7 linked regions of the Canis lupus familiaris genome follow. The protein of the gene in region 1 purifies or fractionates together with the protein of each later gene. This does not show direct contact. Links are inferred from orthologs where the notes say so. Each region holds a gene or a part of one and is shown in the gene's direction. Other genes may lie near its edges. The genes, in order: KBTBD7, LLGL1, MRM2, OBSL1, LLGL2, NSUN4 and MTERF4.

What was found.
Region 2: the proteins of KBTBD7 (region 1) and LLGL1 purify together in Homo sapiens (co-immunoprecipitation; 4 studies listed by BioGRID and IntAct, counting the BioPlex papers as one, with this or other methods). This does not show direct contact. The link is inferred for Canis lupus familiaris from reciprocal best matches to the Homo sapiens genes KBTBD7 and LLGL1.
Region 3: the proteins of KBTBD7 (region 1) and MRM2 purify together in Homo sapiens (co-immunoprecipitation; 3 studies listed by BioGRID and IntAct, counting the BioPlex papers as one, with this or other methods). This does not show direct contact. The link is inferred for Canis lupus familiaris from reciprocal best matches to the Homo sapiens genes KBTBD7 and MRM2.
Region 4: the proteins of KBTBD7 (region 1) and OBSL1 purify together in Homo sapiens (affinity purification with mass spectrometry; 3 studies listed by BioGRID and IntAct, with this or other methods). This does not show direct contact. The link is inferred for Canis lupus familiaris from reciprocal best matches to the Homo sapiens genes KBTBD7 and OBSL1.
Region 5: the proteins of KBTBD7 (region 1) and LLGL2 purify together in Homo sapiens (co-immunoprecipitation; 4 studies listed by BioGRID and IntAct, counting the BioPlex papers as one, with this or other methods). This does not show direct contact. The link is inferred for Canis lupus familiaris from reciprocal best matches to the Homo sapiens genes KBTBD7 and LLGL2.
Region 6: the proteins of KBTBD7 (region 1) and NSUN4 purify together in Homo sapiens (co-immunoprecipitation; 5 studies listed by BioGRID and IntAct, counting the BioPlex papers as one, with this or other methods). This does not show direct contact. The link is inferred for Canis lupus familiaris from reciprocal best matches to the Homo sapiens genes KBTBD7 and NSUN4.
Region 7: the proteins of KBTBD7 (region 1) and MTERF4 purify together in Homo sapiens (co-immunoprecipitation; 3 studies listed by BioGRID and IntAct, counting the BioPlex papers as one, with this or other methods). This does not show direct contact. The link is inferred for Canis lupus familiaris from reciprocal best matches to the Homo sapiens genes KBTBD7 and MTERF4.

What each region holds. Positions count from the first base shown.
Region 1 is NC_049243.1:9,372,650-9,376,797, forward strand, and holds the start of KBTBD7 (kelch repeat and BTB domain-containing protein 7), read left to right. Parts: upstream 1-1,348; 5' UTR 1,349-1,631; coding exon 1,632-3,671; 3' UTR 3,672-4,148. UniProt on the Homo sapiens protein: As part of the CUL3(KBTBD6/7) E3 ubiquitin ligase complex functions as a substrate adapter for the RAC1 guanine exchange factor (GEF) TIAM1, mediating its 'Lys-48' ubiquitination and proteasomal degradation.
Region 2 is NC_049226.1:41,543,593-41,547,642, reverse strand, and holds the start of LLGL1 (lethal(2) giant larvae protein homolog 1), read left to right. Parts: upstream 1-1,200; coding exon 1,201-1,281; intron 1,282-4,050. UniProt on the Homo sapiens protein: Cortical cytoskeleton protein found in a complex involved in maintaining cell polarity and epithelial integrity. Involved in the regulation of mitotic spindle orientation, proliferation, differentiation and tissue organization of neuroepithelial cells.
Region 3 is NC_049227.1:15,025,667-15,029,724, forward strand, and holds the start of MRM2 (rRNA methyltransferase 2, mitochondrial), read left to right. Parts: upstream 1-1,153; 5' UTR 1,154-1,330; coding exon 1,331-1,378; intron 1,379-2,542; coding exon of another isoform or gene 2,543-2,573; coding exon 2,574-2,832; intron 2,833-4,058. UniProt on the Homo sapiens protein: S-adenosyl-L-methionine-dependent 2'-O-ribose methyltransferase that catalyzes the formation of 2'-O-methyluridine at position 1369 (Um1369) in the 16S mitochondrial large subunit ribosomal RNA (mtLSU rRNA), a universally conserved modification in the peptidyl transferase domain of the mtLSU rRNA.
Region 4 is NC_049258.1:25,945,153-25,948,766, reverse strand, and holds part of OBSL1 (obscurin-like protein 1), read left to right. Parts: coding exon 1-85; intron 86-1,159; coding exon 1,160-1,432; intron 1,433-2,034; coding exon 2,035-2,307; intron 2,308-2,685; coding exon of another isoform or gene 2,686-2,810; exon of another isoform or gene 2,811-3,005; intron 3,006-3,614. UniProt on the Homo sapiens protein: Core component of the 3M complex, a complex required to regulate microtubule dynamics and genome integrity. It is unclear how the 3M complex regulates microtubules, it could act by controlling the level of a microtubule stabilizer.
Region 5 is NC_049230.1:5,864,925-5,868,538, reverse strand, and holds part of LLGL2 (LLGL scribble cell polarity complex component 2), read left to right. Parts: intron 1-689; coding exon 690-771; intron 772-1,065; coding exon 1,066-1,181; intron 1,182-1,548; coding exon 1,549-1,707; intron 1,708-3,384; coding exon 3,385-3,547; intron 3,548-3,614. UniProt on the Homo sapiens protein: Part of a complex with GPSM2/LGN, PRKCI/aPKC and PARD6B/Par-6, which may ensure the correct organization and orientation of bipolar spindles for normal cell division.
Region 6 is NC_049236.1:14,148,810-14,152,423, reverse strand, and holds part of NSUN4 (5-methylcytosine rRNA methyltransferase NSUN4), read left to right. Parts: coding exon 1-83; intron 84-956; exon of another isoform or gene 957-1,457; intron 1,458-2,585; coding exon 2,586-2,746; intron 2,747-3,614. UniProt on the Homo sapiens protein: Mitochondrial RNA cytosine C(5)-methyltransferase that methylates cytosine to 5-methylcytosine (m5C) in various RNAs, such as rRNAs, mRNAs and some long non-coding RNAs (lncRNAs).
Region 7 is NC_049246.1:51,199,560-51,203,776, reverse strand, and holds the start of MTERF4 (transcription termination factor 4, mitochondrial), read left to right. Parts: upstream 1-1,374; 5' UTR 1,375-1,377; coding exon 1,378-1,594; intron 1,595-2,025; exon of another isoform or gene 2,026-2,302; intron 2,303-2,796; coding exon 2,797-2,981; intron 2,982-3,648; coding exon 3,649-4,047; 3' UTR 4,048-4,217. UniProt on the Homo sapiens protein: Regulator of mitochondrial ribosome biogenesis and translation. Binds to mitochondrial ribosomal RNAs 16S, 12S and 7S and targets NSUN4 RNA methyltransferase to the mitochondrial large ribosomal subunit (39S).

The sequences.
Region 1 (4,148 bases):
TCATGAATAAATAAATAAAATCTTAAAAAAAAAATACTGGATAACCCAGGGGGCTCAGCAGTTTAGCGCTGCCTTTGGCCCAGGGCCTGATCCTGGAGACCCAGGATTGAGTCCTACATTGGGCTTCCTGCATGGAGCCTGCTTCTCTCTGTGTGTGTGTGTCTCATGAATAAATAAAATCTTAAAAAAAAAAACAAAAACAAAAAAAAAAAAACTGGGGCATGCATGAATACAGAGCTCTGAGGTCTGTTTGTTTAAATCTTTTAATCTACAACTCCCGTTTTTATCTCCTTGATAAAGATAACTACATAATCTTAGGCTGATTTGTGGAGAGGAAGGGAAACGAGCAGTATTAGACCAAAACATTCCTGCTAAAAGGTTACGAAAGGGCTTCTGGGTGGCTCAGCCGGTTAGGCGCCTGCCCGGGGTCCTGGGATCCGGCCCTATCAGCAGGGAGCCTGTAATCTCCCTCCCCCTCTGCCTGTCACTCCCCTGCTTGTGCATTCTCTCTCTAATAAGTAAATAAAAATCTTAATTTAAAAAAAAAGAAAAAAAAGCTTATGAAAGTAATCCTGCTCCCCCTGCGTAAATATTGATTTGGTGAGAGGTCAGCCCAGCTATGCATGTGCCTGAGCTGCCTGTTAGAGGCCTGAGCTGTATGTCAGAGGCCTGAGCCGCACGTCGGAGGCCTGAGCCGCACGTCGGAGGCCACCTCTCAACGCTGTTCGCCAGGACCTCATCCTTGTCCACGACACCCTAACGAACCTGTGGATCTCATTTAGTTCTGAAAAGATGGTGGTAGCCTTCAGAAGAACCCTTCAAAAGAAGCAACAGTAAAATTAAGATTCCTCACACAAATCGCTCACGGCTTCGCACGCGGGCACATTTTTAAAAACGCATTGGGAGACGCCACCAGTGGCTGAATCTGTATATTCCAGGCACTTGCAAGCATGTGATTAATCAGCAGGTATTCGCTGAAGCATCCTGGGACCTGCGCAAATCCACCTCGCTCCCACTCTCACATAATCCTATGAAAACTCGTATCCCCCGCTTTACAAAGAGGGGAAAGTTCTCAGAGAGAAGACCAATACCAAAACGGAGATTTTTTTTTTTTTTAAATAAAAAAGAACATCAAAGCCAAAGCTCTAAAACCAACAAACCCAGATTAACGCTTTTTCGAATTCTGTCAGCTAAAAGTCCGCCCGCCCGGAGAAACCTCGCGATATTCCTCGAACTACCACTCCCAGCGTGCACAGCGGCTCCGGCCCGCCCGCCGATCCCCTGGAGTCTGGAGGGGCCCCGGCATGCCTCGGGGCGCGAAAGGCAGCCTGGGAGCCGTAGTTCCGCTGGACGCCTACCGGTATTGCCAGCGCGGCAGTGGCGGCTCTCTCGGTTCCGTCCAGCCGGGTTCTGTAAGGCGAGCTGAGGCGGAGAAAAGGGCGCGGAACTGGAAGCGGGTGAGTCAGGCGCTGGCTACGCGATAAAGGGAGGCGGCACCGCGGCGCGGGGCTGAGTTGGGTAAGTGCGGCCCCTGCAGTCTCTTCAGGGAGAAGGCGAGGAGAGGGCGAGGAGGAGCCCGCGCCCGGTCCGTGCACCCGTTCTCGCCCTCGTACCCCGCCGCCATCTCCACCATGCAGTCCCGGGAAGAGGCTCCGCGCCCCCGCCGCCTGGCCAGTCCCCGCGGCGGCAGGCGGCCCAAGAGGATCTCCAAGCCCTCGGTCTCGGCTTTCTTCACGGGCCCGGAGGAGCTGAAGGACGCGGCTCACTCCGCAGCCCTCCTGGCGCAGCTCAAGTCCTTCTACGACGCGCGGCTGCTGTGCGACGTGACCATCGAGGTGGTGACGCCCGGCAGCGGGCCCGGCACCGGCCGCCTCTTCCCCTGCAACCGGAACGTGCTGGCGGCCGCGTGTCCCTACTTCAAGAGCATGTTCACGGGCGGCATGTACGAGAGCCACCAGGCGAACGTGACCATGCACGACGTGGACGCCGAGTCCTTCGAGGTGCTGGTCGACTACTGCTACACGGGCCGCGTGTCGCTGAGCGAGGCCAACGTGCAGCGCCTGTACGCGGCCTCCGACATGCTGCAGCTCGAGTACGTGCGGGAGGCCTGCGCCTCCTTCCTGGCCCGCCGCCTCGACCTGGCCAACTGCACCGCCATCCTCAAGTTCGCCGACGCCTTCGACCATCATAAGCTGCGATCCCAGGCCCAGTCCTTCATAGCCCACAATTTCAGGCAGCTCAGCCGGATGGGCTCAGTAAGGGAGGAGAGCCTGGCGGATCTGAGCTTGGCCCAGCTGCTGTCCATCCTGCGCCTGGATAGTCTAGACATCGAGAGCGAGCGGACCGTGTGTCACGTGGCCGTGCAGTGGCTGGAGGCGGCTCCCAAGGAGCGCGGACCCAGCGCTGCGGAAGTCTTCAAGTGTGTCCGCTGGACACACTTCAGAGAAGAGGATCAGGATTACCTGGAGGGGCTGCTGACCAAGCCCATTGTGAAAAAGTACTGTCTGGACCTTATCGAGGGGGCCCTGCAGATGCGCTATGGTGACAAGCTGTGCAAGGCTCTGGTGCCCAAACCAGATAGCAGCAGCAGCTGTGTTGTGCCCACAGCAGAAAACCCACCCCAGAGGCTGGGTATGTGTGCCAAGGAGATGGTGATCTTCTTTGGACATCCCCGAGATCCCTTTCTGTGCTACGACCCATACTCAGGGGACATTTACACCATGCCATCCCCTTTAACCAGCTTGGCTCACACCAAGACTGTCACTTCCTCAGCTGTCTGCGTCTCTCCAGACCATGACATCTACCTGGCCGCGCAGCCCAGGAAGGACCTCTGGGTGTACAAGCCAGCCCAGAATAGTTGGCAGCAGCTGGCCGACCGCCTGCTGTGCCGGGAGGGCATGGATGTGGCCTACCTCAATGGCTACATCTACATTTTGGGTGGGCGAGACCCCATTACCGGTGTTAAACTGAAGGAAGTGGAGTGCTACAGTGTCCAGAGAAACCAGTGGGCACTGGTGGCTCCTGTACCCCATTCCTTCTATTCGTTTGAACTAATAGTGGTTCAGAACTATCTTTATGCTGTGAACAGTAAGCGCATGCTCTACTATGACCCGGGCCACAATACATGGCTGAACTGTGCTTCTCTTAAACGTAGTGACTTTCAGGAAGCCTGTGTCTTCAATGATGAGATCTACTGTATCTGCGACATCCCGGTCATGAAGGTCTACAACCCAGCCAGGGGAGAATGGAGGCGGATTAGTAATATCCCCTTGGACTCAGAGACCCACAACTACCAGATTGTCAATCATGGCCAAAAGTTGCTCCTCATTACTTCTACCACCCCTCAGTGGAAAAAAAACCGGGTGACTGTTTATGAATACGATACTAGGGAAGACCAGTGGATTAATATAGGTACCATGTTAGGTCTTTTGCAGTTTGACTCTGGCTTTATTTGCCTCTGTGCTCGTGTTTATCCTTCCTGCCTTGAACCTGGACAGAGTTTTATCACTGAGGAAGATGATGCACGGAGTGAGTCTAGTACTGAATGGGACTTAGATGGATTCAGTGAGCTGGACTCGGAGTCAGGAAGTTCAAGTTCTTTTTCCGATGATGAAGTCTGGGTGCAGGTGGCACCTCAGGGAAATGCACAGGATCATCAGGGTTCTTTGTAAATATTTTGAAGCACTAAGATGTTTCTACTTCTATGGAATGTATCTTTAAAAGATATCCCTTCCTTTTCATGAAAAAAAAAATGTTGATTAGGACTGCAGATTTGGTTTAGAAAGGGTAACATTTGAATTACTAATGTAATGTTACAAAGTTAAACAGTCCATGAAATCAACCTATATGATAATTTATTATGCTAAAAGTCAAGATTAAAATATGCAAAAACAAACTATGTAACTGATTAGAATGCTTGGTGGTTTCTTGGTTGTTCGAGTATTTGTTGCACCAGTGGATTGTTTTGGTTAGTTTACACTGTTTATATTTTGATTATCTACGTTTGTCTTCTGTTAACGTTTTAATTCAACTTAGTGCCACAAGGAATTTAACTTTTTAATTTTTATAGTAGAAAATTGAACTAGAAATTGTTGGTAGGGTTTTGAAGGTTGTATTTTCTTTTAGAATAATGAAAGTAGTAGATTTCC
Region 2 (4,050 bases), on another chromosome or scaffold:
CCCTAGGGCAGGGCTGAGCTGGGCCGCTGAGGGCGTGGGCGGCCGGCGGTGGGGGACAGCCAGGCCCCACGTTGCTTGGTAGCTACCTTAGGATCAGAAGTCGGGCCTGCCTCCCTGGACACAGCTGGGGGGCGGGGCGGGGGGCGGCTGGTGCTGGCCCATAGGCCCCACCTAAGCTCCTGGGAGTTCCCTCCTGCCCAGCCCTGAGCGGGGGCAGCCTATCCTCAGCCTTGGAAGGAAAGGTTCGGCCTTGAGGCCACGGTCCAGAAGAGAAAAGGCGGCCTTCGAGGTGGGTGGGGACAGGCCGATAGTCCCTTGGAGAGTGGAGGCGGGGTGCAGCTTTGTTTATATAGTGTTGCGTGCAGGGGAGGCCCTTCCCCCACCCTGGAAGAGCCCAGATCCAATCTCGGTTCGCCCCAAACGCCACCTCCGGAGGCAGGGCCTCTTACCTGCCCCTCTCTAGCTGGATGGCCCGTGAATCCCGCGCTGCTACGCGTAGCCTTTTACGATGGACCCTGAAGGATGTGTAGGAGATTCCCAGGGGCGAGGGACTGGGGAGGGCATTCCTGACTGACCACCAGTGGAGCAAAAGCGCGGTGGTGGGAGGTGTTCCGGCACACTTGCGAACAAAGCGCTGCCCCGTGGAACTGTATACCTTGGCAATCACTGGGCCGTAATGTAGGTGGGGAAACTGAGGCTGGGGGGCCGAGAAGTTGGATCTGTCAGAACTCTCCCGGCTCTCGGGGCAGGTCCTCCTCATTACCTGAATAAGCACGCCGCTCCTCCCTGGGGGAAGGAAAGGCCTCCTCCAAGTTCGGGAACACCCGTCAGCCCCCTCCAAAGCTTGTCCCCAGCCGCCCACGCAGGAAGCCTGGCTCGCGGACTACAATCCCGGCAGGACCCGCGCCGCGGCGCATGCTCGGCGGGAGCACCTTCGCGAGCCCGGCCGAGCCCGGGGGCCCAGTCTTCCCCCATTGTCTGGCCGACAGGGGCGGGGCGAGCGGCACCGGGGCACACCCATTGGTCGGGTTGTACGTCAGTCGCGCTCTGCGTCCGCCCCCGTGCAGGCCCCGCCCCGCGCGCCCGCGTCCGGGCCGCCTGGCGCCCCGCCCGCGCCTCAGGACCCGCGGGGCCGCGCGGCGCATCCTGCGGGCGGCGGCGGCGGCGGCGGCGGGCGCGGCGCCGGCAGCCGGACGCAAGATGATGAAGTTTCGGTTCCGGCGGCAGGGCGCTGACCCGCAGCGCGAGAAGCTCAAGCAGGAGCTCTTCGCCTTCAACAAGGTGCGGCGCGGCGGTTCGGGCAGAGGGAGGGGGCGGGCCGGGGGCCCGAGCCGGGGGCCCGAGCCGGGGGCGCGGGGGCCGGAGCCACGTCGGGCCCGGGGGGAGGGGGCGCCCGGCCGAGGCGCGGCGCGGGGGCCGGGTCGCGCGCCCGTCGGCGGGCCCCACTTCTCGCCTCCTCCTCGGCTCCACTCCCGGACCCTGGGTGGGTCTGGGTCCCCTGCTGACTTTCCGAGTCCGCTCCCCCGGGTCCCTGTGGGCCTCGCTGGCCCTGGCTCTGCGGGTCTCCGTGTCCCTGGGTCGGTGTCTCTCTCTGTCCCTGTGCGACTCTTTACATGTCCTGGGTCTCTGCCCCGCCTCGGTCTGTGATCACCTCCTGTCCTAGCCTATCCTATGCCTGTGTCTGGGGAGGGGGTGTCTGCCTCTGTCCCTGTGTGTCTCTGCGTATCCCTTCTCTTTCTTCGTCTCTCTGTCTCTTCATCTCTGAGTCTTTGCGTGTCTCTTCGCCTCCATGTGTCTCCGTAAGGTCTCTGGAACTCTCACTCTGGCTCTCGGTCTCCGTCTCTTTATCTCTCTTCCTTTGGGGGCCCTCGGAGCCCCCGCTCAGCCCTTGGGGCAGCCCAGGGCCCCAGTTTGTTTTGCTTTCGCACCCAGGCCAGTGGGGAGGGGTGAGGAACGGAGGCAGATGTTGGGGGGTGGGGCTGGGAAATCCTTTCCCTGTTTCTTTCGTCCCCTCCCCCAAGGCCCGGGGCTCTGCCTTGGGGGCTCTGCCCTGCCCTGTTTTGCTGGGGGCTCCAGAGAAGATGCCTGGCTGTGTAGATGAATACACTCCTGGGGCCTCAGTTTTCCTTGCTATAAAACGGGGCCACCTTTTTCCCTGCTCTGGCTCCCTGTATCACATGGGCCTGCTGACCTATCCTTTGGGCCAACGTGGAGAGATGGTTGCTCCTTCCTTTCTTTTCCTGGGTAGGGCAAGAGGGGCCACAGTACTGAGGCTACCTTCCACTCCCTCCTCCCCTCCACCTTTGCACCCATGCGTGGTTGATCCGGGCCCCAGCCTTTCCCTTGCTAACTTCTGGGGTGTTGCTTCCGGGCTCAGTTTTACTCCAGACCTCTGATTGCACAGCCCCTCACTGCTCTTGGGGATTAGAGTTACTATCCCCATCATATAGGTGAGAAAATGGAGATTCAGAGAGGGATGACGACTTGCCCAGAGTCAGAGAGTGAGTCGGGGCACTCTGTCCTCGTGGACCCTTGTCGATGAGGTTTGACTTTAGCTTTGAGGTGCAGGGGTTTTTGGAAGGGCTGCTGTAGTCCTGAGCCAGACTCCAGGAGACTCTTGTTTAAGAGAAAGCTCTAGGATGGCTGGATCTGAAGTGGTCAAGGTGGAAATGTCCTTTGGGGCAGGCAGGGTTTCCTGGTGATGGCGGCTGCTGGGGCCTTCGACATGGTGGCTGAGAACTTGCAGGGGCCTGGGAGGCCCAGAAGGGTGGCTGGTGCCCGGGGTCTCCCCGCTGGTCTCTTTCATATGCTGGGTGGCTGTGAGCAAGAGCCCCTGTGAGGTGAGAGGAGAAGGATGCTGGGGGTAGGTGTCACTTCATCAGCCAGTGAGTCGGGGTGTGAAGTGGAGATAGTGGAGATAGATGGTGGCGAGGCTGGGCTCCTCCTGACTGGCCTTGGGTCAGCAGAAGCCAAGGGTTCCCTGCTAAGGCCAGTGAGGCCCTATTCTGAGTAGGTGGCATTGGTGGGAAGGGTGAGGCTTGGGGTAGGGGCTTGCTCACACGAGGAGATAGGTGATCACTAGAGAACAAATAGATCCCAGATTCCCGAGTGGTGGGAAGGGTCAGAAGCAAGCATGGACCTTGGACTGTCTTGCATCCGAATCTCTGTCCTGCCCATAGCTTGCCTGTGGGATGTCTACTCTATGTCAGTTTAACAATCTTGAGCTCCTACTGTGTGAGGGGCCCCCTTCTAGGTATTGGGGACACCACAGTGACCAAGAGAGACAAATGCCTCTTCGGGGTGCTGATATACTCATGGGGGATATAGTAAAAAGCCACAGCAAAAGAGTAAAATGTGCAGCAGTTTGGATGATGACCAGTGCTGTGGTTACAGTAAAGTGGGGTGAGGGTAAGGAGTATGGGAACAGGGAGGCTGCTAGAGCAGGGTGGTTTAGGGAGGGCTTTGAGGAGTTGACTCCTGAGCTGAGAGCTGAGTAATGGAGAGGAGCCCTCTTTGGGCACTGCTGGGTGTCCAGGTAGATGGACAGTAGATGCAAAGGTCCTGAGGCAGGAGCCTGCCTAGTAAATTGGAGGAGAGCAGAAGGGCATTGGCCCAGCAGTCAAGCTAGGGGAGGGAGGGAGGAGGAGGGCAGACAGGGGCCAGGTGGTGAGGTAGGAGCCCCAAGAGGGTCCTGAGCAGAGGAAGGGACTGGCTAGACCTGGTCAGCTCTGGTATGAGCATGGGAAGCTCTCCCCCTGCACCCCCAGCCAAATGGGCTACTCTGTCCTCAGGTGGGCTCACTGCCCCTAGTGAGCACATGGGACACTGAGGTGTCGAGAATGTTTTGACTAGCCTGAATCCAACCAAGCAGGCTGCAGAGAGAGCTCAGTCCCTTCCTGGATTAGTTGAGGCAGGAGGGAGGCTGGGCCAACAGGCCTGCGGACCACAGTTTTCTTTTGAAATGTATGTCTTCCTGAGGCACTGGTCAGGAGACAGCTGGACCCATGTGTCATGTCCCACATTGGTGTCGAGGATGGGGGTGGGGTAGGG
Region 3 (4,058 bases), on another chromosome or scaffold:
CACCCGGCTGGGGCTCAGCGCCCGACTCCCGCGTCCCAGCTCCGCACCACTCGGCTCCGCGCGCGCTTTCGGATCTGGGGCGCCGCTTCCGGGGGCGTGGCCTCGGCCGGAAGCGAGGCCGGCACTTCCGGCGCAGCGAGCGGAGGGAGTCGGCCTGCATGGCTCTGTGAGTGGGGCTGCGGGCCCAGAGGCGGACGCGCGGGAGCGCTGGTGCGGCCTTACCGGGCGCCTCCTGCAAGCGTGCGGGGGGAGGACGGCCCGGGGCGTCCCAGCTTCCCTCCGCGTGACAGGGGCGCGGACGCGGGCTTCCCGGGCGCAGTGCCTAGGGGAAGACTTCCTACACGAAGCCGGTAGTCGGGGCCGCTTCCGAGGAGCGCGGGCGGGCGGAGGGGGCAGGTGAGGGGGCCTGCAGGTGGGGGGCTGCGGAGAGCGGAGGAGACAGGTGAGGGGGTCTGCAGGTGAGGGGCTGCGGAGAGCGGAGAGGGCAGGTGAGGGGGCCTGCAGGTGGGGGGCTGCGGAGAGCGGAGGGGACAGGTGAGGGGGCCTGCAGGTGAGGGGCTGTGGTGAGCGGAGGGGACAGGTGAGGGGGCCTGCAGGTGGGGTGGTGCAGAGAGTGGAGGAGACAGGTGAGGGGGCCTGTAGGTGAGGGGGTGCAGAGAGTGGAGGAGACAGGTGAGGGGGCCTGGAGGTGGAGGGCTGCGGAGAGTGGAGCAGACAGGTGAGGGAGCCTGCAGGTGAGGGGGCCTGCAGGTGAGGAGGTATGGAGAGCAGAGGGGGCAGGCGAAGAGGTGCTGCAGGTGGAGGGGGCACTGCAGGTGAGGGGGCAGATGAAGGGGTGCTGCAGGTGGAGGTGAAGCTTGCAAAGGGCACTGCAGGCCTGAAGGCTGTGGCATCAGGGCTTGCACAATTGGCCAATGTGGCTGGACCCCAGCTGTGGGAGGGTCCTGGAGGTCAGCTGTGCAAATTTGCAGGTCTCCAGTGTGTGTGACTCTGCTTTCCAGCCTTCCCCCAACCTCGGGAGTTGGTTCTCGTGCCCAGGATTGTTCTGTGCTCCTCCCAGGAGGTCCCTTCAGCTTTTTTTTTTTTTTTTTTTTTTTTTTTTAAGATTTTATTTATTTATTCACGAGAGACACAGAGAGAGAGAGGCAGAGACACAGGCAGAGGGAGAAGCAGGCTCCATGTAGGGAGCCCGATGTGGGATTCGATCCCGGGTCTCCAGGATCGCGCCCTGGGCCAAAGGCAGGCGCCAAACCGCTGCGCCACCCAGGGATCCCTCCCTTCAGCTTTTTGAAGGCAGTGACTGCAATTACCCTGCCCAGATCTTGCCAACATGCTTTGGTTGTTGAAGGGGCTTTTGCTTGGAGCCGTGGAGATAATGGTAGGTTCTTTCCATCAGAAACATGGATACAGAACTTATTTGTAGGGTTGTGCTGAGAGTTAGTTAGGGGATATACGGGGTGTGGGTTTCTGGTACTGGATAAGTTGTTAAAAACCTAACTTTGCCAAAGATACTTGGAAATTGTCCTTCACCTGCTCACACAGGTTGAGTTCAGTTGTATGAGGCAATGTGACTGGTAAGGCCCTGTGTTGGCCTGTGCAGCCATGGAGCTAAGTACAGCAAGGGTCTGTCCCTGGGGGGGTTCTCTCGCGGTTCCCTAGAGCCCAAGGAGAAGTTAGTGGGTGAGCAGGAATATTACCTTTGTGAATATCAATGGTACTATTAACCGGTACTGGAAAGACCTTGGTTGACACAAGCAAAGTGACCATCAGTGATGTTTGAGTCTTACTTCTGAAGGAAACTTTCATAAGCTGAGTGGAAGCAATGCCTGCTGTGCTTGAAAGTCCCCAGGAGAAAGCCCCCAGGCCAGGCGGCTGAGACAACACAAACTTCTGTCTCACTGCCCTCACACAGCAGGGGGCTGCAGCCCCAGGCCAACGTGTGGACAGGACTGGTGTCTCCTGAGGCCCCTCTCCTTGGCCTGTAGATGGCTGGCTTCTCCCTGTGTCTTCCCCTCCCCACCCCTCCTGTGGTTGGTCCTGTGTCCCTGTGTCCTAACTTTCTCTTAGGAAGATACCAGTCATACTAGATTTGGGCCCACCCATATAGCGTCATTTTAAATGAATTACTTCTCTATCTTATTTTATTTAAAAAAAAATTTTTTTATTCATTTGAGTGAGACCTTGAGCCAGCACGAGAAGGGGGAGGAACAGACTCCCTGCTGAACGGGGAGCTTGACAGGGGGCTCGATCCCAAGACCCTGAGATCATGCCCCGAGCTAAAGGCAGATGCTTTACCAACTGAGCCCCTGAATTACCTAATATTACCAGTCCTATTTTGAGATACCTGGGGTTAGGACATTAGCACACGAGTTTGGGGAGGGACTCGGTTCACCCCATTCCACCTGCTTTCTGTCTGGGTAGCCTTGCCAAGTCTCCTCCCCGCTCCAGTCTCTGGGCGCTGTCTCTGAAAATACATGGGCTGGACCAGGGAGCCTACTTATGTGTGTGATGCCCGCCTGTATGCTCCTGTTTGCTCCCTCAGGTCTTTGAAGCTGCTTCATGTGTCCCTGCAGTGTCAGAGGTTTCACACAGCTGGGAGTTACTACAAGGGTCGGACCGGTGCTGAACACCTGTGGCTGACGCGGCATTTGAAGGACCCATATGTGAAGGCAGCGAAAGTGGAGAGTTATCGGTGCCGAAGTGCCTTCAAACTCCTGGAGATGGATGAGAGGCACCGGATCCTGCGGCCCGGTCTCCGAGTGTTAGACTGCGGGGCGGCCCCTGGGGCGTGGAGCCAGGTGGCTGTGCAGAGGGTTAATGCTGCAGGCACAGGTAGGACCTCTGACCACCTTGGGTCTGGAGGTGCAAGCCAGCTGCCCTCTACCAGGAGATTCACTTGGTGAGGACACCTCCTTCTGAGTTGCTTGTTTAGTGGTAGGAAGGCTGAAAGTAGGACATTGATGTTTTCAAAATGACAGCCACAGTAGAAAGGCATAGATTTAGAGTACCTCAGATTGTACCATGTCCATATGTACGTCAATGTGTCGCCATGTGCCCTTCGAGAATTCTTGCATAAGTATATATGTGTTTTTTTTTTTTGTTTTTTTTTTTTTTAAAGATAGTATTCTACATCTATGTTCTTCCTGCTGCTTTGGAGCCTTCATAGAGCTGTGTTTTCTTTTTCACTTACTAATATATTGACATCTGTCCATGACAGCAGATCTGTACCAATCCGAGGTTTCTGGCTCCTGGTCCTTGAAGCTCTGGTCTTCCCAAGGCCCCACTAGGTCTGCTTCCCGGAGCACCCGTGCTGGGGCTCTGGCTTCTCCCCTCTTGTTCAATCTGAGGGACTCTGCTTTTGCCATCTTATATTTTAGGATCTTGTCAAAGGTTTTCTATATGAAGATGGTTCCCCCAATTAATCAACAGGGTAACCAGTACCCTCAATTTAGATACCTATATTGTCCTTTTAAATGCTTGTGCAGAACTCCAGATGGCAGCTGTCCTGTGCTGTACAGCTGGTCTCCTTCTCATGGGCACCAGTGTTGCTCTCAGGTCTATTGCTAGGGTCCGCCATGCTGTGATGAGCATCTCTCCCCCTTCTCTGATGCCGTAAAATCTGAGGGTACCACAGTCCCTGGCACTATATGAAATATGCCGATTCACGAGGACCTCTCTCTGACACCTAGAGGGAGGATGCTGTGGCAGTAGTCCTAGTGAAAAATGAGGTTCAAAGGAGCTTGCTGACCTGCTGAAAGCGCAGACTGGGGACTGCTGCTCCCTGGGTTCATGACAAAGAATCAGCCTTATTATTATGGGTGGAATACCTCCAGGAGCTCTATCTAGAACAGGCGGAAAAAATGTTTTTAGCTCAACAAATACTGCCTAAGTGAAGGAATTTGTGTCAGAGACTTCAGCTCCTTTTCCTATCACTGAGCCTGTCTACAGACTTAATGAGTGATTTTAATGCTTCCTGGCATTGTAATTGTTCTTCAGAAGGAGGAAGTGGAAGAAGCAAAGAGTTTGGATAAGATGACTGAGTTTTTTTTCCTCCCAGA
Region 4 (3,614 bases), on another chromosome or scaffold:
CTGCCGGCCGCCGAGGTCCAGGACAGCGGCGAGTTTGAGTGCAGGACGGAAGGGGTCTCGGCCTTCTTCAGTGTCACCGTCCGAGGTCAGCAACCGCGGTGGTCTGGGGCTGACTCGGGGGGCCACGCAACCCTGCCCCATGGTCCGCCTGCTTGGGGTCCCTTCTGGGAAGAGCCTGGTGGCCCAGGGGACCTGTTTTCAAATCATCCTGTACTTCTCAATCCTCCCACCACCAACACCCTCCAGCACACTCACCTTCCACGTGTCCTCGGCTGGGTAGGGGGTTGGGAGACAGGTGCTGGTTGTCGATTGGGTACTTACCACGAGCCCAACGTATACTAAATGTTTCACGTGTATACGATCTCGTGTGACCTTCACAACTGGATGAGAAGATCTCCAGGTCACAGGGCAAGAAACTGAGGCTCAGAGAGGTTATGTGATGTACTCATGATCACAGCCAGCAAACACCATAGCTGGGCTCACACCCAGGTCTGCTTATCCCACTGCCTCGGGTGGCCCGAGGCAAGGAGAAGCTTTAAGTGCAGTGGTGCAGTGGTTCTCAAGCCAGGCCATGCTCTGGCTGCTTCAGAACCACCCCAGAAGCTTGTTCTCAATGCATATGCCGGACCTGCAGCGCCAGACTCTCCAGGGTAGAGCCTGGGGTTCCATTCTGGGAGGGCAGCTCATCTTCTCACTTTGAGTGGAAATCCTAATTAAGCCGCATTGCCAGGCGGTCCTGCAGCTGCTGCCTACATGCCCCTCATGATGGGGAACTTACTACCTGTAGAGGCAGCCATCTCACGGTGGCACTGCTGAGTCGTTGCCACCTCCTGCCCGTCCTGGGGCCAGGGCTCGGAGCCTCCCTTACAAAAGCAGCAGCAAGCATGGCCCTGATGTGGCCCATGATAGTGACCTCCTCTCAGCGGGGACAAAGGTAGTCTGTGCCCCCCTCCCCCAGTGTACCCCCCTAGCTGCCCCGACCCTCTGGGGACTCACGGAGCACTCAGGTGCCACATAGTCTGCGTTGCCTCACCTGCCACACACTCAGTAGGCCTCGCACAGCATGGCCTTCACCCTCCCAGTGTCCTCCGGGCAGGAAGCTGTCTGGTGTGTATGTGTGGGGGGGTGTCTATGTGACCACGTCTCTGCCCCCCACCAGACCCCCCGGTGCATATCCTGGACCCCCAGGAGCACGTGTTCGTGCACGCCATAACCTCGGAGTGTGTCATGCTGACCTGTGAGGTGGACCGAGAGGATGCGCCCGTGCGCTGGTACAAGGATGGGCAGGAGGTGGAGGAGAGTGACTTCGTGGTGCTGGAGAAGGAAGGGCCCCACCACCGCCTGGTGCTGCCTGCCGCCCAGCCCCCGGATGGGGGCGAATTTCAGTGTGTCGCTGGAGACGAGCGCGCCTACTTCACGGTCACCATCACAGGTGGGGGGCCAGGCGGGCCCATGTGACACCGCCCGGGCCCACTGTCACACTCTCAGCCCCGGGCCACCGTCCCCTGGCCCTGCTTCCTTCCCCCCAGCTGATCTCGTGTCTCCTTCTTGGTCTGCACCCTAAGGTTCAGTCACCCACAGAAAATGCCTTGTCCTTAACCCTGGCCAGGGCTACAGGATCCCCAGGGAAGCTCCGCTCTCTCCATGCTCCTGCAAAGGGCAACCCTAATGCGGAGCGGGGCATCCCGTGCTAGAAGGGTGAGAAGGCCTCGAAAGCCTACAGGAAACCCAGGCTCCATTTGGGCACTCAGCTGTCCTCTCCCGGGTCCCACTCATCAGTCCCCGTCCTGACCCCGAGAACGGGGCGTGTTTCTATAGCAGAGGCTGACCCCGTGGTCCCCACCCCGCCACTGCACCTGTGATGCGTGTCGGTGACCATAGCTGTCTCTCCAGTTGGGAGCGGCTGTGAGACCTAATGTGAGAGCAGGCTCCCTTCCTCAATGCATGGCCCTCGTGCCAGGAGGAGGGGGCAGGCACGGATCAGGGGAGGCACCGGGGCCATCAGTCCCAGCCGTGACTGTCCCCGTCCTCTAGATGTCTCCTCGTGGATCGTGTACCCCAGCGGCAAGGTATACGTGGCCGCCGTGCGCCTGGAGCGCGTGGTGCTCACCTGTGAGCTGTGCCGGCCGTGGGCCGAGGTGCGCTGGACCAAGGACGGGGAAGAAGTGGTGGAAAGTCCTGCGCTGCTGCTGCAGAAGGAGGACACCGTCCGCCGCCTGGTGTTGCCCGCTGTCCAGCTTGAGGACTCCGGCGAGTATTTGTGTGAAATCGATGACGAGTCGGCCTCCTTCACCGTCACAGTCACAGGTGTGGGTTCACCCCAGCTGCCCCGGGGGGCACCAAAAGACGGTCCTGAGCCCCTGGGGGGAGCTGGCCACCCACTCCCTAGTTAGCACACTGGGGAGGAGGGAGGTAGGGCTGTGGTGCATGTGCCAAGGCTCCTTGCCCGGAAGACCCCGGGGCCCCTGTCCGAGTGAGCCATCTCCTCCCCAGCACCAGGCCCAGGAATAACTGGCTCGTTTACCGGGCACTTCCTGCGTGACGGCCGGGGGCCGCGGACATGCGTGGTCTCTGCTCTCCGAGAGCCGCCAGCCTAGCTGGGGAGGCAGCTATTAACCAGGGGTCGCAAACGGGCAGTCCATAGGGCCCCATGCAGCCCACAGATGTGTTTTGTTTGGCCTGCAGAGTCTTACCAAAGTCAGGACAGTTCAAATAACAATCCGGAGTTATGCGTCCTCTTGAAAAAGCCGAAGACCCGGCGGCTCTGGTCCCGCTTCCCCCCATGGCGACGAACAGCTGGTGCTGAGTAGCAGCTGCCCCCCTAATATGGGGCCCACATTCCTCTGTCCTCCCCCCGCCCCCCCGCCGCCGCCGTTCCTCTTTGCCTCTCCCCAGACTGCTTCAGCCACTGACCTTACCTACCCGGCCCCCGTGGGCGTTTGAGTTTGCGACCCCTGTGTTAAACCAATAAACGCGCAAATAAATGTACAGCGGACACCTCGTGACAAGTGCCGTGAAGGATGAGAGCAGAGGGCTCGAGAGAGAACAGGCGAGTCAGGGAGGGCTTCGGGGAAAGTGGATGCCCCCCGAAGGAGCCAGCCCTGGACGCCCGGCGGCAGGCAGACAGACAGACATGCCCCCCTCCCCTCCAGGAGCGCACGGCCTAGCAGGAAAGCCAGGCTCTTTAGAGGGTCTCAGACTGTGGATGGTCCGGTGTTGCGGGGCCTCGGGGCTGCTGACCTCTGGGCAGGCGGGAAGTGCCTCCAAACCGGAAACTTGGGGCAGGGCCTGAGTTAGCCAAGCGGGGTCAGGTTTGGTCTGACCTGGGGAGTGTTCAAAGCTGGAAAAGCATAGGACGACTGTGGAAGTGATGGTGCTTCATTCAGTGCTAGAAACTTTGGAGGCTGCAGCCGATACAGTGCCAATCCCAGCATGTGTGTGCGTGTGTGCGTGCGTGCATGTGTGTGTATGAGGTGGGCTTTCGGGGGGGGGGGTGGATGTTGCAGGGCCTAGGCAGCTCGTGGGGGGGGCACAGAAGAACCCCGCTGGCTACACTGGAGTATCCCTCCGGCACCTGACGCCGTCCTGCTGCCCTGTGCCCTGCCCTACGTCGA
Region 5 (3,614 bases), on another chromosome or scaffold:
ATTGGAAGGTGGTCCCTCAGTTCCAATGGAGATCACCCATGGAGGGCCCAGCTGGAACACACACACACACACACACACACACACACATACATACACACACACACACACCGGTGAAGCTGTGACTCCCTCCCAATCCTCTGCTGCAGCATAGGCAGGGGAGGTGGGGGTGCCTCCAGCAGGCTGGGCTACACTGGAGGTGGTATATAGCACCCCCTCAGCTGGTTAATCATTGCCAGGCCACGGCCATATCCTGGTTACCAATCCTCCTTGCCAAGACTCATGGCCATAGCTGCTGGGGGCGGTGCCCTTATCTCTTCTCAGGTGCCACCTTGTGGTAGCTCATGGGTCTGTTGCAGCTTAGGTGCTAGGGTCATGGTGAGGGTGCAGCAAGCAGTCCGCAGTTGCCAGGATAAGGCTCCACCCTCCTAGAGTGTCACCCCACCTGCCTGGCTGGAAAAGCTATCCCTGGTTGGAGTGGGCTCCCCATCAGGGTCACATCACCCCTGGCCAAGTGCTGTCGCAAGGAAAAGGACTTGCGTCACCCAACCCCAGGCCCCATCTGGGAGGAGGGTGAGCCTGTCGCTGAGGTACTTCTATTTCTTGCCACGTGGGCCTAGAGGTCCTGGCCCTTTAGAGGGAGGGGGTGGTGTCCTGCCTTCTGCAGCTTTTCCTGAGCCTGCTGCCTGTAGCTATGGTGCGCCAGGGGTGGAGTTCATGGGACTCCACCGAGAGAACAATGCTGTGGTGCAGATCCATTTCCTACCTGGCCAGGTGAGGGGCCCCTCCACACCCTCTTGCTCTCATGCCACCCAGAAGGGGTGTACATACGGTGAGGCGGGCATCTGGCGGCCCTGGGTTTGGTTCTGATAGGAGGGCCTGGGACTCCCTTTCCCTCGGCTTTGGGTTCATGGGCCACCCCGAGTGTAGCCAGGGATTTGCTTCTGGGCCTCCCCAAATCAAACAACATGGGGTGGGCCACCCCAGTGGGAGAGGCCACAGTGAATGCTGGCCCTCCCTAGTGAATAAGATGGCACCCGCCTGCTTTTGGTGCCATTCCCCTCCTAGTGCCAGCTGGTCACCCTGCTAGATGACAATAGCCTGCACCTGTGGAGACTGACAGTCAAAGGCGGTGTGTCGGAGCTGCAGGAAGATGAGAGTTACACACTGCGTGGCCCCCCAGGGTAAGGACTTGGTGCCCGTCGTCTCCCAGCCGGCCTGACATGCACACCCAGCTCCGGGTGTCGATCAGGAAGGTCCTGTGGAACCCTTGGTGGCCCTGCCTCCTTCCATCCCCACACAGCGTCTACATAGGAGGCTCTGGAAGGGGGCAGGGGTTCTGCTGCCCCGTCCAAGCCCTCGCCCTCCACCATCTGGCTTCTGTCTTGGCAGAAAGTAATCCCTGTATTTACCCCATTGGACCCCATTAAAGGACCTCATGGGTCTGCTTTCCCTGGACGAGGCCTTTCCTGGGGCTGGCGAGGGGCCCCTAGCCCAGGGGCTTCCCTGCCCGGTGGCAGCCAACTCACAGGCAGCCACTCCCATCCTCAGGGCTGCCCCCAGCGCCACACAGATCACCGTGGTCCTGCCACATTCCTCCCACGAGCTCCTCTACCTGGGCACTGAGAGTGGCAACGTTTTCGTGGTGCAGCTGCCGGGCTTCCACACGCTGGAGGACCAGACCATCAGCTCGGACGCCGTGCTGCAGTGGTGAGCCTGCAGACCCCTGGCGGTCGGGGAGCCACCCCCTCCAGCTGGGCCTGGCCTCCTCCCATCTGTCCCAGTAATACCTCAGGAGCTTCTAATTTCTCTCCTGGGGAGTCTATAGGGACTATAGACTATATCTATCTATAGGGAGGAGAGATTCTCAGCTCCCCACCTGTCCCCTAAGCAGAGACTCTGACCCCATGATGTGTTTAACATCATAGCACTCAAATGGTTTTGGGGGTAACTTGTCATTTCATTTAAAGGTGAGAAAAATGAGACTCAAAATGATTTTGCACTGTCATCAGTTCTTAGTCTACTGTCCTTTGCACTGTCACCACAAATTTCCCAGCCCCCAGGCTCTGCAGTGGGGCACAAGGGGCCCAAACCTCTCCCCAAACTTCTGGGGAGGTTTATGCTTTGGAGTCTGCTGAGTTTTCATTTACATGCATGCCCCATGGCCCAAACTCCTGGTCAGCCTCGACCCTCTAGGCTTCTTCAGATCATTCTGGAGGCTTTGCCCCATGATAGTCTGTGACAGAGAATAGGTCAGGTCAGGTCAGGATGTGGAGAAGAGGGTACTAGGGTCCCAGGGAGGGGGAGCTGAAGAATCAGCTGTGGTGGGATATTCCAGGGTTTCACGGGACAGAGAGGAGGCCAGGGTCCTTGGACGGGAGCTGCTTCTCGAGCCGGTGGGACACTGTTCCTGAAAGGACCAACCTTCCAATGCACTCACATCCGTCAGGCCCACTGTCCAGAGCTGGGTCGAGAGGATTCCTGCTTGGGGCTGGGTCCCTCTGAGCACAACCGCCTCCCTCTTTCCCGCTCGGCAGGATAGAGTCAGGGCAGCACGGCCATGGTCAGAGCAGGACTGTTTGCTGTTTGTAGGTCAGCAGGCTCGGCCGCTTCTCAGCCTGGGCGCCCAGTCTGTGGGCAGGGCAGTGGGAGGACCTGCTCCTCACATGTGGCCATGCCAGTGCCACCTCACTCTGCCGATGGAAGTCCAGTTGGGGGGCCTCCCCCAGCCTGAGTGCCCTGGGAGCCCCCTCCTACCTATGTAAATCTTTTCTCTAAATAAAGAGAGGTTTGACTTGGTTGGGTGCCTAGAAGTGTCCTGAGGTCCAGGCTATTTGCATAACCTACTCTCCTGTGGCGCTGGCTGTGGGTCCTGCGTCTGCCACCTCATTCTCTGTTGGCTGCAGCACCTCCAGACTTCACATCAGCATTCCAGGCCCAGAGAAGGGGGAGGGGGTCAAAGCTCAGGGCCAGGCCAACTCACATAGAGAGCTTTGTTGAGTGGGTTTTAAAAACTTTTTTATTAAGAAATATCACCTCTATACAGAAATGCACTAAATACAAATGTACAGTTTAGTGAATTCTTGTAAAGTGAGCCTCCACGTGCCCTCCCCAGTCACGACCCTTTCCCTCCCCGGAGATAACCACCACATCAACTTCTGGAAGTCACTTCCTTGCCTTCCCTTGTAGCGGCACCAGCTGTGTTTGCATCCTTAGGTTCCTATATATCACTATGCTGTTCTGCGCACGGCTTCTCTCCCACCTTGGCGGTGTCCCTGCGATCTCCCCACCCTGGCACATCCCCACCCACAGGCGTGCCTATGCCCAGTGCTCTGTCCTGCCCTGGCAGCGGCGGCAGCCTGGCCTCACAGTGCTTCCTTTGGCCAGGTTGCCCGAGGAGGCCCGCCACCGGCGGGTGTTTGAGATGGTGGAAGCTCTGCAGGAGCACCCCCGTGACCCCAACCAGATCCTCATCGGCTACAGCCGGGGCCTCATCGTTATCTGGGACCTGCAGGGCAGCCGCGCACTCTGCCATTTCCTCAGCAACCAGGTAGGCCATGCCAGGAGTGTGGCAGGTGCCACAGGGCTCTCCCAGGCTCCCATGTCATACAGCCCCT
Region 6 (3,614 bases), on another chromosome or scaffold:
TCTGCAGCCTGGTGACACTGTGCTTGACTTATGTGCAGCCCCTGGGGGAAAGACACTAGCACTGCTTCAGACTGGCTGTTGCCGTAAGTCAGAGGGTTGGTGTCTTGGGCAGGGAGGGCCCCCTACCTCACCCAGTCAGGGACTTGCCAAGTAGGATGGGCTCTCTGGTCCTAAGGTCAGAGGCGGGGTATAGTGCCTGCTTGCTAAGGTGGTGGATTTTTGTTTGCAGTTTTCTCCTCTCTTCCTCTGTCAATTGGCCAAGAAAGATTGCTGAGCAGAGCAAGGTCTCTGAAGGCAGATTAAACCAGGGCCCTGATCAATCTACACATGACACTTTCACTCCTCTACCCCTGTTTTCTTTTGTCTCTAAGATTAAGTTCATTTCCTTAGTCTGCCAACTAAAGCAATAAGATCTGGCTGCAGCCACCCTTTAAAGCTTTGTTATTCTTCCCCAGACTTTGTGTGCTTCAGCCACATTCTGCTACTCTCTGTTGTTTGAATAAGCCTCCATTTTTTGCTCATGTTCCATTTTCTCTCTAGAATACCCGCCACCTTATCTATCCCAGCTGGCCTGTCTGAAGCCTTCAGCCTTCAAGCCTCAGCTCAAGGGTGCCACCTCCTGGAAGTCTTCCCTTATGACTTTTGCTAGCCGGTTGCAAAGTGATGCCTTAGTCTCCTACACTCCCATGCCGCGGGCGTCACTCTTGCAACTGTTAGCACATTAGCCTGTGTCAGAGCTTTACGGTGTATGCATCTTCTCCTGCTCTAAGCATGAATTCCTTAGGGACAGGCACAAGTCTTGTTCATCTCAGTAGTGCAGCCACCAGCCAGGGCCATGTGCGCCATGATGTTCACTTCAGCTATCTACTTGCTGACATCCTGCCTTAAAATGGGCACCTTTCGTTCCACAGGGACCTGAGAAATATCCAGAGGGGGGCTATGGGTTTTCCACTCACCTTGGAACTCAGCCAGGCTTCTCTTGCCTTATGCCTTAGACTTTTTGATGGGCTGGGCCCCTTGTCTTCCAGGTCTCATCAGCCAATTACTTGCACAGTTTGAGTTAGCTTCCAGCCTCACGGTAGGCCCTGTGGGTGATTGCATGGTACCATGTTTGTCTTCCCTTCTGGTAGTGCAGAGGCAGAGGAGAAAAAGTGTTAGTATGGTTTAAGGAGTCCAGTGTAGGAGCCCAGCTTCTGTGCTGGACTGATCTGACCCAGTGCTATGGGAATCCATCAGAAAGAGGTTAAGTGAGGTAGGGTTACCTAGAAGAGGAGGATCTGGACTCTAAGAGGCAGAAGAAGGGCCAATGAGAAGTAATCGAGAGTTGCTCTTGTAAGTTGTATTAAGTTACCAGCACCTTGCCCCCATGCCAGCTCCTCACCAAGAGAGTCCTCGTGTTTTATGGAGGGGGAAATTGACTCTGAAGAGATTTAAGAATTTAACTTTTACCTGAGTTGGAGATAGAGCCAGAACCAGAACCCAGCTTTTCTGTTCTCCATTCACATCCTTTTACAAATTCCTCCTGAGCAAAGAATCCAATTTTTACTTCTTTGAGTTCCCTCAAAAATTGGGACTCTAGGTCTGTGTAGAAACACTAAACTGGTGCATGGTGGATTGCTCCCATCGGATAAGGGATAAGGTGTGCCCTCTAGTTCTTCACCATTGTTCTGCCTCTCCCTTTCACTCTTTCACTTCTTGACTCTGAGACCAGGTATCAGTCACCATTTATCATCAAACTTGCAGTAAGGTTTTTCTTATGGTAGAGTCAAGAGCAAAGCAAGCTTTTTTTTTTTTTTTTTTAAAGATTTTATTGATTTATTTGAGAGACAGCATGAGCACATGAGCCGGGGGAGAAGGACAGAGGGAGAGAGAACAGCAGATTCCCTCCTGAGCAGGGAATCTGACGTGGAACTCAATCCCAGGACCCTAGGATCTCGACCTGAGTCGAAGGTAGATGCTTAACCAGCTGAGCCATCGAGGCGCCCCAAAGTGACCAATTTCTTGAATTTGTGTCTGTCACAAAAAGGAAAGTAGAAGATAGATGGATTAGGTTTGGTAATATTCAATAGAAAATCAATGAACTGGCTTAAAGAAGAAAATTTTAGGGATCCCTGGGTGGCGCAGCGGTTTGGCGCCTACCTTTGGCCCAGGGCACGATCTGGAGACCCAGGATCGAATCCCACGTCGGGCTCCCGGTGCATGGAGTCTGCTTCTCCCTCTGCCTGTGTCTCTGCCTCTCTCTCTCTCTCTCTCTCTCTGTGTGACTATCATAAATAAATAAACATTTAAAATATTTAAAAAAAAAAGTTTATTTCTCTCTTACATAAGGTGGTGCTAAACCGCTGAGCCACCGGGGCTGCTCACAATGTTAAAATTTCTATTCCTGGGGATCCCTGAATGGCTCAGCGGTTTGGCACCTGCCTTTGGCCCAGGGCGTGATCCTGGAGTACCAGGATCGAGTCCCGCGTCAGGCTCCTGGCATGGAGCCTGCTTCTCCCTCTGCCTGTGTCTCTGCCTCTCTCTCTCTCTATGTCTATCATGAATAAATAAATAAAATCTTTAAAAAAAAATTTCTATTCCTACAGGCAATCTCGCTGCCAATGATCTGTCCACTTCTCGAACAGGCAGACTACAGAGGGTCCTTCGCAGCTATGTGCCTCAAGATATCAGGGATAGAAATCGGGTTCGAGTCACCTCATGGGATGGCAGGAAGTGGGGAGAACTGGAGGGAGACACCTATGACCGGGTAAGTGATTCCTGACATCCGGCTAGCCAAATCTGGCCTTCCCATCCCAGCACCAGGCCCTGAGAATTCTCATGGGATCCAGACCTCCATGTTTGAGGATGTACGGTCATTTCTGGACCTGGCCCATGCTCTGTGGGTGATTGGGAGAACAGAGTCTGCACATCTGCACAATCATTGGTGTTATCTTCATTAAAGACAGTTAGCAGGAAAGAGTTTGAACCTGAGTGGGAAAGGAGTTATTAGACTTATTTTATTTCTCAACTTCTTTGGTTGGTGAGAAGCCCTCATTAAAATAAGTATGAATAACCTAATTTATTTTTGAATATTAATACAGCACATGGTGTAAAATTCAGAAGGTGCTTCCCTTTTACTTCTGTCTCTCAGCTATCTTTCCTCTCCCCACAGATGATCATTGCTTGTTTTCATCTGTATCCTTTAAGAAGTATTATTTGTGGATATACAAATACAAATGTGCATGTGTGTTGTTGGGTTTTGTTTGTTTTAGAGAAAGTGTGTGCACACATGCATGTGTGTGAGCAGAGCATGGGGCAGGGATAGAGTCTCAAGCAGGCTCCACACTCAGTACAAGCTTGATTCACACTCAGTACAAGCTTGATGTAGGGCTCAATCTCATGACCCTGAGATCATGACCTGAGCTGAAATCAAGAGTCCAATGCCCAACTGACTGAGCCCACATAGGTGTTCCAGTGTGTGTGTATTTTTGAATAAAGGAATGGTGGTGTATTATTCTCACTATTTGAACTTTGTAGTTTTTTCATTTAATAATATACCCTGAGGTTCAGTCCTTTTTACTTTTATGCTTTTTAAGTATCTTTGCTGGATAACAGTTTATATGGATGTAAGATTT
Region 7 (4,217 bases), on another chromosome or scaffold:
TTTGAATATTTTCCAAATTAAAGCAGTTTTGTAGTGAACCACCGCCCTGACTCGGACTGAGCTCCTGCGCCGCGCGGGGCGGGGGGCGGGGGGCGGGCGGGGAGGGGGGGGAGGGGGAGGGGAGGGGAGCCTCCCGGGCCGCTGGGGCCCTCCACCCCCTCCCCCTCCCCGCCGGGGCGTCCGCAGGTCCCCCAGGCCCCGCCCTCCCTCCCAGGCCCCGCCCCCTCCCAGGCCCCGCCCCCACTCCCGGCCCCGCCCCCATCTCCCAGGCCCCGCCCTCCCCTCCCAGGCCCCGCCCCCCGCCCCGGGTCCTCGACGCCCCGAGGGCTCCTCCGTGGGAAGCGGAGTCCGGGGCCCCGCGAGCACCTGCGAGGCCTCCTTTCTCTGCTTGGAGCCGGCGCCGCCGGGGGGGGGGGGGGGCACCGGGCCTCCTCTCCCCGCCCCCAGACCTCCCCGCTGCTCGCGGGCCCACGGCTCCTGCTGCGTAGACCCGCGGAAGCCGCCCGGGGCCGCAGCTCGGCGCCCACCCCCTGCTGTTCACCTGGGCGCGCGGCGGGCGCCCGCGGACCGGGGGGGCGGGGGGGCGGGGCGGGGCCGGCCGCGCCCCCCGCACCCGGGAACGCCCGCGGCGGAACGCACCTCCCGCGCACTCGCGCTTCCCTGGGGGGGGGGGGGCGGAAGTGCGGGCCACGGGAGGGCGGAAGTGCGGGCCGGCGGGGCGGAAGCGCTCGTCAGGCCCCAGCCATGGCGGCGCTCGGCGGGCAGGTGAGGGGGCGCGGGCAGTCCCGCGGGCGGGGTCGGGAGGTGCGGGGCGGCGGGAGGCCGCGGCTCGGGGACGCCGGTCGGTGAAGCCGCTCCGCGGGCCGCGGCGCCAGGATGTGGCTTCGGGCCCGGAAGGGACGGACAGGCCGGGCGGCTGCGGACGCGAGCCCACCTCCCGACGAGCGCCCCCCGCCCCCGCCGCGTAGACCCCGACCCTTGAGGCGCGGCCACGCGGACGCGACACGCCGTGGTTTTCCCTCCCTGCGCCGCGGTCCGCGCGTCTCCCGCCCCCGCCCTCCCTGACCCCTGACCCCCCGCCCCGCGGCCTCCCCGCCCCCCGCCCTGACCCCTGACCCCCGCCCCGCGGAGCTGCGCACGGCCGCCCGGTGCCCTCTACAGCGCGGGGCGGGAGCCGACCCCTGTCTCGGTCTCTCCCAGGTCCTCGGCGGGGCCCGCACCTGGGCCCGCACCTGGCCCCGCACCTGGGCCCGCACCTGGGCCGGCCTGGCCGCGCAGCCCCGCGGAGGGCAGAGAAGGGCCGCAGCGTCCCGCGGAGGGGGCCGCGGGGCTCGGGGCCCGGGCGCGCGGGGGGAGGTCGCGGGCGCCCTCCTGGCCATGGGCTTCAGCGACGCGCACGTCCGGGGGCTGCTCAGCGTGTGGCGGGGCGCGCGGCCTCGGCGGGTGCTGGACGTCGTTTCGGAGCTGATCCTCCTGGGCGTGAGCCCCGAGCACGTGTGCCTGGCGCTGAGGAGCAGCCCGCGCCTGCTGGACCTGCCCGCGGCGCACGCGCAGAGGCGCTCCGGCTACCTGCGGAGGCTCGGCCTCGGAGAAGGTACAGGAGGCCGGGGAGGCGCCGGGCGGCGGGTGGGCGGCGGGTGGGCGGCGGGTGGGCCGGGCGGCGCCTGCGGTAGCTCGGGCTGCAGGACGGAAGCGGAGGCCCGATGGGGGTGCAGGTGCGGGCCCGGTGACCGCCTCCGCGTACTGCGGATCCCCAGATGGCCGGACTCGGGGATCAGAGAGCCTGGCTTCCCCCACCGGGATTCACACCTCGGGGAGCCTGCGGCCTTCGGGGCAGCGGGGCTAGGAGCCCGTCAGGGCCTCGGGGATCCCTACACACTGTAACACAGGAGGGTCACTGGGCTTTTTTTTTTTTTTTTTTTTTTTCCTTCATTTTTTTAAAAAGATTTTATTTATTTGAGAGCGAGAGAAAACAAGTGGTAGGGGAGGGGGCAGGCAGAGGGAGAAGCAGGCTCCCCCCTGAGCAGGGAGTGGCGCGGGGCTTCCATCCCAGGACCCCGGGATGACAGCCTGAGCCGAAGGCAGACACTTAACCGACAGTCACGCAGGCGCCCCAGTGGGGTTCTTTTTCTTCTTCTTTTTACTGACTCCTACCGGGAAGATATTGTTGGGGGAAGATACTGTTGTTTGGGAACCGGTCTCAGAGGATCTCCGTTGGCCCCTTCACCAGAAGATAAGGAAGAGAGCGCCTTCTGTGTCCCCCCTGGCAGATCACCTGTTGCGGCATAATCTAAAAGGCTGAGTGAGCCCAATACTTTATATACTGTGATTATGAATTAGAAAGCTCAGCGAGGCCTTCTGCTTCAGAGGGAAACTCTAAACTCCTAGAAGTCATCCTAGGCACGTTTCAGCGAGACAGCGAGTAGCTGACCTGTTAGAAAGATTGTAAATACTTTTTTAAATAAGTGATTTGAGGTTTCCGGGTACTGGATTTTGCCCACATCCCTGGGAAGACCACGGGCCCAGTTTGCCTGGGCGGCCTCAGTTACCAGTTGCCTCATGCGTTTGTTCAAGGGGCCTCTTTTGCTCGGTGTTGTGCGAGTGTGGATAAGAGATCTGAGGAATGCCGGTGGTGGGTGCTTCAGCGACTGCTGAGGCTGCTGGGAGCATCAGAAGCTGTCGCTCGTGGAGGAGAGCCTCCTTGTTCAGTTTTAAATGCTGGCGTGGGCGTGGCAAGCCCCTTGGTTTTCCGGAGTGCCCTGAAATCATGTACTTGCCCTTTCCTGTGTCTTGCAGGGAAACTGAAGACGCTGCTTCTCTGTTGCCCTGAAGTCTTCACCATGCACCAGAGGGACATTGAGAACATCGTGGGGGTTCTCAAGGACAAATGCCTTTTCACGGGACAACAGGTGACCAGGATTTTGCACAGATGCCCCTATGTTCTTCGGGAGGACCCTGGTGACCTCGAATACAAATTCCAGGTGAGGATGACTGGTGACTGGTAGGGGTTCGGGAAGTAAAAACGCATTGTTTGAATGTAGCGAGGGTGAGCTCCGTGGATGAGAAGCCTCAGGCACCCCGAGGGCGGTGGACGAGGTGGAAGGGTTAGAGCCCCTGCACACACCCTCCAGAGGGAATCCAGCTCTGGTCTTTCACTTCCTTACGGAAAACCTCTCCTACAGCGTTTCTGCCATTAATAATGAACGACCTGGTCCCTCTCCTGGGGTCCAAATGGGGCCTCTCCTTGAAATAGGTGGTTTTAAAAGAACTAAAGACTCTTTTTTTTTGAACCTATTTTGCGTATTGATTTTAGTAGCATAATTGTGACAGTTGTCTTGTCTTTTGGTTAACAATTTTGACAGGTTGGGTTAGATTGCTAGATGTTTCTGGATATTTTGCCCATTCTTTCCATGCTCACAGTTTTTTTTTCCTGAGGAAAAAGAATTGAATTCATCCCACTTAACACTTCATTTTCTACTAAATTTTTTCAATATGAATTTGGAAATGCTTCGAAAACTCAGCCGTCACACCAGTGCTGGGCATCGTAGAGTGTCCTGGCACTGCTAGTTGGGCAGCTCTTTGTGAGTGCTTGAGTTGATTGTGGACGGTGGCAGGACAGACCGTAGGTAACTGTGTCTGTGTCTTCAGTATGCCTACTTTAGGATGGGGGTTAAACATGCGGACGTGGTGCGGACCGACTTCCTGCAGCACTCCATAACCAAGATCAAGCAGAGACATGTGTTCCTCGAGCGCCTAGGGCGGTACCAGACCCCTGATAAGAAGGGCCAGACACAGATCCCCAATCCTTTACTCAAGGACATTCTGAGAGTCTCAGAAGCTGAGTTTCTGGCCAGGACAGCCCATTCTTCTGCTGAGGAGTTTGAAGTTTTTAAGAAGCTCTTTGCTCGGGAGGAGGAAGAGGAGTCTGAGAGGCAGATGCCTGACATGCAGAGCTTAAGTCTAGACGAGGAGGATGAGGAGGAGGAAGAAGAGGAGGATGAGGAGGAGGAAGAAGAGGAGGATGAGGACGAGGAGGAGTGGCAGTAGGACTGGAATGAAGAGCCCACAGATAACAAAGAACATTACAAATTTTTAAAGCTTCTGAGAGCTTCACTTGGATCATCTCAGGTTATTTTTCCTTCTAAAACTGCCGTTCTGATGAAAACATTGTTATAAATCTCCTGAGACTGGATAGGAGCTGCATTAGGTTGATGTGT